Linked DNA regions of Rattus norvegicus. The protein of the gene in region 1 binds, or shares a complex with, the protein of each later gene. Links are inferred from orthologs where the notes say so. Each region holds a gene or a part of one and is shown in the gene's direction. Other genes may lie near its edges.

Region 1 (3,653 bases):
CTCCATAGTTCCAGGACTAAAGGTGTGCGCCATCACCATCCAGCCTCTGGTACTAGTTCTGAACTTACCAAAATTAACTTGAGTTCCTTGGGGAAAGGGATGGTTTCCAGTCTTGGCAAGAAGCACAAGAGGCAGGAGGGGTAGAATGTACTGGTAATCACAAGGTTTGGGAGGCTAATGTAGGGGGATTGAGATTTTAAGGGAAACCTGGGCTACATAGAACCTGCCTCAAAAAATGGCTGGGGATGTGTTTAGTGGGTGGAGTGCTTTTCCAGTATACACGAAGTATACACATGCTCTTGGTGATCAGGAGGAGGAGGAGGAGGTGAAGGATCAGAAATTCAAGACTACACAGTGTGTTTAAGGCTAGCCTAGGCTATATGAGGCCATGTTTCTTTTTAAATTAATTAATTATGAGTACACTGTAGCTGTCTTCAGACACACCAGAAGAGGGCATCAGATCTCATTACAGATGGTTGTGAGAATTGAACTGAGGACCTCTGGAAGAGCAGTCAGTGCTCTTAACCACGGAGCCATCTCTCCAGCCCCGAGGCCCCTCCCTCCCTTCCTTCCTTCCTCCCTCCCTTTTTCGTTTGTTTGTTTTAAAATAGGGCTGGGGAGATGGGACCAGAGTCTTGCTCTCTAACACTCACAGAAAGCTGGGTGCTGTGATGCATGACTTCCATCCTGACTCTGAGGGGTGTGCAGAGACAGATGGGTTCCTGGAATTTACTGCCCAGTTAGCCTAGTCTGTGAGTTCTAAATCCAGCTAGAGACCATGTCTTAAAAAGTAAGGTGGAGCTGGGCATTGTGATACACGCATTTAATCCCAACACTGGGGAGGCAAATGTCAGTGGAGCTCTGTGAGTTCAGGGATAGCCTGGTCTACATAGTGAGTTCTAGGACAACCGGAGGTAGGTGGTGAAATCCTGTATATAAACAAACAAACGAATGAACAAACAAATAAAAATTAAGATGGAGAATGATTTTGGGAAGACCCTTGAAGTCAGCCTTTGGCCTCCATGCTTGTGCGCGCGCGCGCGCACACACACACACACACACACACACACATCACCACCACCAAATAACCAAGCCAGAAACAAATACGTAAATGTGTAAGTCATACTAGAGGGCCAGGAAGGGGCCCAGGATTATTAGTGTCACAGCAGTCTTGTTGAAGAGGATTTTTCTGGCCTTACATAATTTATTTTATATGCAAACACATGAGGTCAGAATAATACCTTTATTTTTTTTAAATATTATTTAATGGATATGAGTACACCAGACACACCAGAATAGGGTATTACAGATGGTTGTGAGCCACCATGTGGTTGCTGGGAATTGAACTCAAGACCTCTGGAAGAGCAGTCAGTGCTCTTAACCGCTGAGCCATCTCTCCAGCCCCCAGAATAATACCTTTGAAAACAATTGGGTATCAGGCATGGCAGCAGATGTACCGCATGGCGATGGACACAGGTACTCAAAAGTGAAGTAGGAGGATCAAGTTCAGCGAAGGCGTAAGCAACATAGTGAGATCCTTGAAAGTGGGAGACTTGAAAGTAAAACCAAAACCAAACTTGGTCAAATGGACTCAGGCTGGGGAGCCATCATGTGGTGGACGTACAGGTTGAGCAAGACCTGGGGTCCCATCTTCACGGCAGCATTTCCCCTTGTTACCCTTGGAGAATGCTGGAACACCTAGAGACAGGCCATTTCTTCATGGAAATGTAAATAAGGGAGAGGCTCAGTCATCTGCTCCCACAACTGTGTACGCTCATCACAGAGTCAGCTCAAGGTTGCCAGGCAGCAATTCTGGTGCGTGTGTGGGTCTGTTTTCTTACCGTTTTTGTTTTGAGATAGGGTCTCATTATATAGCCCAAGATAGCGTCAAAGTCACCATGTAACCCGCACTAGCCTTCAGTGCCGTCCTGTCCTCCTCAGTGGGATAGTAGGCTCGAACACAACACTCAGCAGGTAGGAGAGTCCTTTGTAAAAATCTTATTAATGATTGTACAACATTAACACTTTGCAGTCCCTGTGAACACCAACCTTAGACACCACCCTGAATGCCCATAAGGACTCTGGTAGAAGGGTATTGTAACGAGCAGGTCAGATGATGACCCCAGAACCTGACAGTCCTAGAAAGACAGGCAGTCAGCTCACACTTCCCCATTTCTTTTGAGACAAGGTCTTACTACATAGCCCCGGCTGGCCTGAAACTTGGGGTTCTACTGTCCCAGTGGATCTAAAGTGTGGGTACCACACCCAGCAGACGTCACTGCGTCCTGTGGCAGGCACAGTTCGCCCCTTGCTGGGTGAACGTTTCATATTGAATTTGAGCCTACTAAGCCTCTGGGACAAGCCCAGGGAAACAAAAAGGGAGCAGAGATGGGGCACAGGCTAAGCAAGACCACAGGGAAACAAGTGACTATTATCGCTCATAGAATGTGGGAAATACTTTAGACAAATGACCCAGTTTTAAAAAAAAACAATCACCCAACAAAACAACAAAAAACCCTAATGACTGGGCAGAGGGAGGGGCATTGAGAGACCTGAGAGACACTTTAACCAAAAGGCAGTCAAAAGCATGATGCCAATATCCTCCTGTTGGCCCCATTCCTGGCATACTAAAGACATATGACCTCCCAACCCTTGCCCTTTGATGTCATCTGTAAACTTCTGACCCCTGCTGCGGGTCACCCACATACCTTTTTGGCAGAATAATTCCTCTTTGACTGAACCTGGCTCTGGGCTCCCTCTGGAGGGGACAGATGGGTGGGTGCCACGGTCACAACATCTTCATCTCATGCCCTGTCTGCCCTCAGCGTATTCTCAGCACCTGGACAATGAGATCAGTCATAGCAGCTACTTGGGCACTGACTACCCCACAGCCATGACCCCCACTTCCCCTCGGCGCTACTCCCCTGTGGCCAAGGACCTGCTGGGGGAGGAAGACATTCCCCGGGAACCAAGGCGGATCGTGATCCATCGGGGCTCCACCGGCCTGGGCTTCAACATTGTGGGCGGCGAGGATGGTGAAGGCATCTTCATCTCCTTCATCCTTGCTGGGGGTCCAGCCGACCTCAGTGGGGAGCTACGGAAGGGGGACCAGATCCTGTCGGTGAGAGAGGCCTGTGCAAGGGTCTGCACTGCCCCCCAAAGGGAGTTCTCTGCTCTTGGGGAGGGACTGGATGGGCTCAAGCCTGGTCCAGCTGGACCACTCCCTGACCCACTCACTCCTAAGAATGACTGTCTTCCCATCCCAGGTGATAGCATCTTCTCCCCTTTCTAGGTCAATGGTGTTGACCTCCGCAATGCCAGTCACGAACAGGCTGCCATTGCCCTGAAGAATGCGGGTCAGACGGTCACGATCATCGCTCAGTATAAACCAGAAGGTACCACGCCTAAGTTTTCTGTCTTGGTTAAGGTGGACCTCAGCATTGTCTCTTTAGCTGATGGATGGTCTCAGTAGGGGTGGAGCGAGGGTTGATGGGGTGTGGCATTAGGATGGGACAGAGTTCCAGAAACTTCTTGTCCTTTCTCAGAGTATAGTCGATTCGAGGCCAAGATCCATGATCTTCGGGAACAGCTCATGAATAGTAGCCTAGGCTCAGGGACTGCATCCTTGCGAAGCAACCCCAAGAGGGGCTTCT
Region 2 (3,653 bases), about 3.9 Mb from region 1:
TGAATTATAGAATATGCTATGACTGTAGAAGATAGAAGAAAAAAATGTTCCCTAGGTAGTTTGAGGTTGGAGTCAGAGATGATTTCATTAGTCTTTGAAGGGAGTAACAGAAGGCTTGAAAGTGGGAACTATCTGTGCAAGAATTCTTCAGAGGGGAAATAGAAGGCAGAGGCAGAGAGTCTGGGAGATGCTGTGGGGATTAGTGAGTAGGAAGAAGAGTCAGAAAAGGCAGACCAGGAACGCTTGCACTTGTTCAGTAACATTCAGGAAAGAACAACTACTGAGCTGAGCCTCCTCAGGAAGAGCCACTACAGGCATCGAGCACAAACAGAAGGGCTGTTCCCTACTCCACCTCTTCCTGTCTCCTCACTTCCAGCTGGTACAAGGAGATGGGGATAGATGGAGCCCCAATGTCAGTTCTCAAGCAGCTTGCAGAATATTTGAAGCAGAGCTCATTCCTTTCTTGTCTAATACGCTTTCCCCCAACACCAGAGAATAATTAGAACTACTGGGAAGTCCAGAAAGACCCACAGCTACTTGGTCAACCCAAAAAACATTAACTAGAGCCTTAGTTTGTGCCATTATTATTGGAGAGAAACCAGAAATATTAGAAAGCTTGTCTACTGATGCCAAGATCTTTGAAGTCATTTGGGATGACCAAAATCAAGTCATATCAAATCATTAGAAATTAGTAAGAGACTGAGTGTCACTGAGTAAATTGGGGGGTGGGGGGCTTAGGTAGAAGAGCCGATATCACTGAGGACTGACAAAATGTAACAAGGTCACAGTCAAAGCCTTTAGTTAAGGAAGAATGTGGTCAAGGAAGGAAAAAATAAAGCACGGCATCCCAAACAAAAACAATCTTGATCGAGGGGTTCTTAGGCAGCCACAGTCAGGACAAAAGGCAGAATGTTCTTGGCTCAGTGGTAATTTCAGAATAAGTGGTAGATGACAGCATATAAACCTACTGCGTTTGGAAGAGGGAGAACGGAGCAATGACCTCAGTGGCAGAAAGATGCCAAGACTCAGAAGGAACCCTGTTCTTCCCCAGCGTGGTGAGAACTGAAGAAACAAGAAGTAGTGGATCCGTGGCTAAGCAAGTCTAGGGAGCAGCACTCGCAGCGCCAGGCCCACTCCACTTCCTGGCATCTGTCCTAGTCCATGCCAGGGAGGCTTGCTCTGTACAGCATGTTCTGATCTCTTGGGATACAGAGCATCCCTCACCCCCTCACATATGTACGAAGCTGGCACAAACACCAGCTTATTGGCTGAAATCCCCTGGCTCAATCCCCAGATCTGGGGGTGACAATGCAGGCAGGGGAGGGGAGAGAAGCCAGGAGTTCCCATGCCTGGGGCAAGCCTTGGATACAGCCTAGGAAGGTGACTCTTTCTCCCAGGGACAACAGAATTCTTGCAGTCTGTAATGCAGCAGTCTCTGCCAAGAGGTATAGGAAACTACAATTCACCTACACATTGATCCCAGCTTGGGGCTGCCCCTTCTCAGAGAAACTATGGCTTTGAGGGGTTCCAGACAAAGAGGATGGATAGATGGTACAGCCAGACTGCTGTTTCCCTACTCATTTGTGGAAATGGTATCACTATCTCCCCGGAAACCAACTGTTGACTTCCTTTTTATGGTTCCTCCTTCTCAAGTCAATCAAGTATTGGGGCATTTTGTTTCCTTTCCCTGAACCTCCATTTCCTTCAGATCCTGATGCTCACCGTTCCCTTACCCATCCTTTACTCCTGTCTTGTGTTTATCTTTAATCTTTCCTCCAGATACCACTCACCCTGAGTATGCCATCATCATTTATCCACTCTGGTGACCACTCACACAAATCTCTATTCCTTTCTTGACTCTTCCCCTGGACCTAGCAATGAACCATACTCTGTTGTGTGTCTGGAATCTTGGGGTCTATCTTAGGGAAAGTGGGAGAAAAGAAAAAAGTATGATAGGCAGATTTTGCTCAAGTTTCTCCTTCTGGGAGCTTAGAAATTCCTAAGGCAGTCTCTGAGAAAGGACTGAAAGTAAGCAAACAGTGGTAGCTGTGTAGCTCACAGAGACTTGCCAAACATGGAGACTAGAAAGACCTAAGGGAACTCCCCTGGAGATGCATGGCACCATGGATTGAATGTGGATTGCTGTTAGTACTGTGCAGGCTCAATACCCCAGCATAGGGGAGTGCTAGGGCAGTGAGGCAGGAGTGAGTAGGTGGGGTGCTCCCTCATAGAAGCAGGGGAAAGGGGGAGAGGATAGGGGAAGGAAGTCAGGAGAGGAAATAGAGGAAGAACCTGGAGCAAGAATTGAAACAGAAGCCATAGAGGAGTACTGCTTACTGGCTTCTCCTTCATGGCTTGCTCAGCCTGCTTTCCTAAACCATGTAGGGTGATGGTCCCAAGGGGGCACTGTTCCTAGTGAGACAGGCCTTCCTACATAAATCATTAATCAAGAAAATGCCCACACAGACTTACCTACAGGCAAGCTGATGGGGGCATCTTCGCAACTGCAGTTCCTCTTCCCATGGGACTCTAGCCTGTGTCAAGTGGCCAAAAGGCTAGCTAGGACAATGCTCTTTCAGTGCACGTGGTTCAGTTTCATCAGACAGACCAGCGATGCACTGGAAGAAGACATCGCTGCTGAGTGTTACAATTGAGTCCTCAGGGACTAATCAATATTCACAGGAGCCTGAGGCACCTAAGACAACACCTTGAGAACTGTCCCCACTGGATCCTAGCATAGGAAAGCAGGATGGGGACTCTAGTCAGGGGTGGAGCAGAAAGATGAGAGAAAACTTGGCCACACTGCCTTTCTGTTCACTGATGCCATGCCCTTGCTTTTCAGAGAAGCCACGGATGAATAACATCCTGACATCAGCCACAGAGCCCTATGACCTCTCCTTCTCGCGCTCTTACCAGAACTTAGCCCATTTGCCTCCATCATATGAATCTGCAGTGAAGACAAATCCGAGCAAGTACTCATCTCTGAAGAGGCTAAGTAAGTCAAGGCTGGCTGGAGTGTCGGGCTGTTTCAAGGGTCTCCAGGTTATTCTCTTCCATGGCACTCTCTTTTGGAGTATCCAAGGGACTAATTATGGAATCCCAAGAGCGAAGGAGTGAGTTGTACAGAGGATAAAGAGAATAGACAGAAACTTTTCTTTTGTTCTATTGGTCCTAAGCCCACCCTTTTCCCAGTGAAGAATGATGCTATAGGGCCCTGAGGCCACCTTATCTATCTTTACAAGCTGTACTTACCATTCATATGTCAGCTCAAAGGGGGGCTTCTTCAAACCATGAGCCTAACTGTGTCATTTCCTGTAATTGAGGCAGCAAGGGCCAAAAGAACCATTCTATCCCAGCCAAGACCATCTCAAGGGCCTGAAGCCTGCTTTATCCAGGCATCCACCTCTGCTATTTGAGTCTGAAATGGGTGTTCACATTGGTGGGTTTAACACACTAAAATGTCAGAAAGTATATTTAGGGACATTTTTCTTCACTGACCTGATCTGTGTAGCCTGCTCTCATTTCCCTACAAATGAGTCAACACCTCTACCTGTGTATTTCTCTCTCTCTCTCTCTCTCTCTCTCTCTCTCTCTCTCTCTCTCTCTCCCTCTCCCTCTCCCTCTCCCCCTCCCCCTCCCCCTCTCCCTCTCCC

What was found. Proteins that work in one complex are often made in the same cells at the same time.
Region 2: Dlg4 (region 1) and Shisa6 share a complex: the UniProt entries of both Homo sapiens proteins name them as parts of the postsynaptic hippocampal AMPA-type glutamate receptor (AMPAR) complex. The link is inferred for Rattus norvegicus from reciprocal best matches to the Homo sapiens genes DLG4 and SHISA6.

What each region holds. Positions count from the first base shown.
Region 1 is NC_086028.1:55,256,738-55,260,390, forward strand, and holds part of Dlg4 (disks large homolog 4), read left to right. Parts: intron 1-2,825; coding exon 2,826-3,121; intron 3,122-3,292; coding exon 3,293-3,395; intron 3,396-3,545; coding exon 3,546-3,653. UniProt on the Homo sapiens protein: Postsynaptic scaffolding protein that plays a critical role in synaptogenesis and synaptic plasticity by providing a platform for the postsynaptic clustering of crucial synaptic proteins.
Region 2 is NC_086028.1:51,404,510-51,408,162, reverse strand, and holds part of Shisa6 (protein shisa-6 isoform 1 precursor), read left to right. Parts: intron 1-2,842; coding exon 2,843-2,995; intron 2,996-3,653. UniProt on the Homo sapiens protein: Involved in maintenance of high-frequency synaptic transmission at hippocampal CA3-CA1 synapses.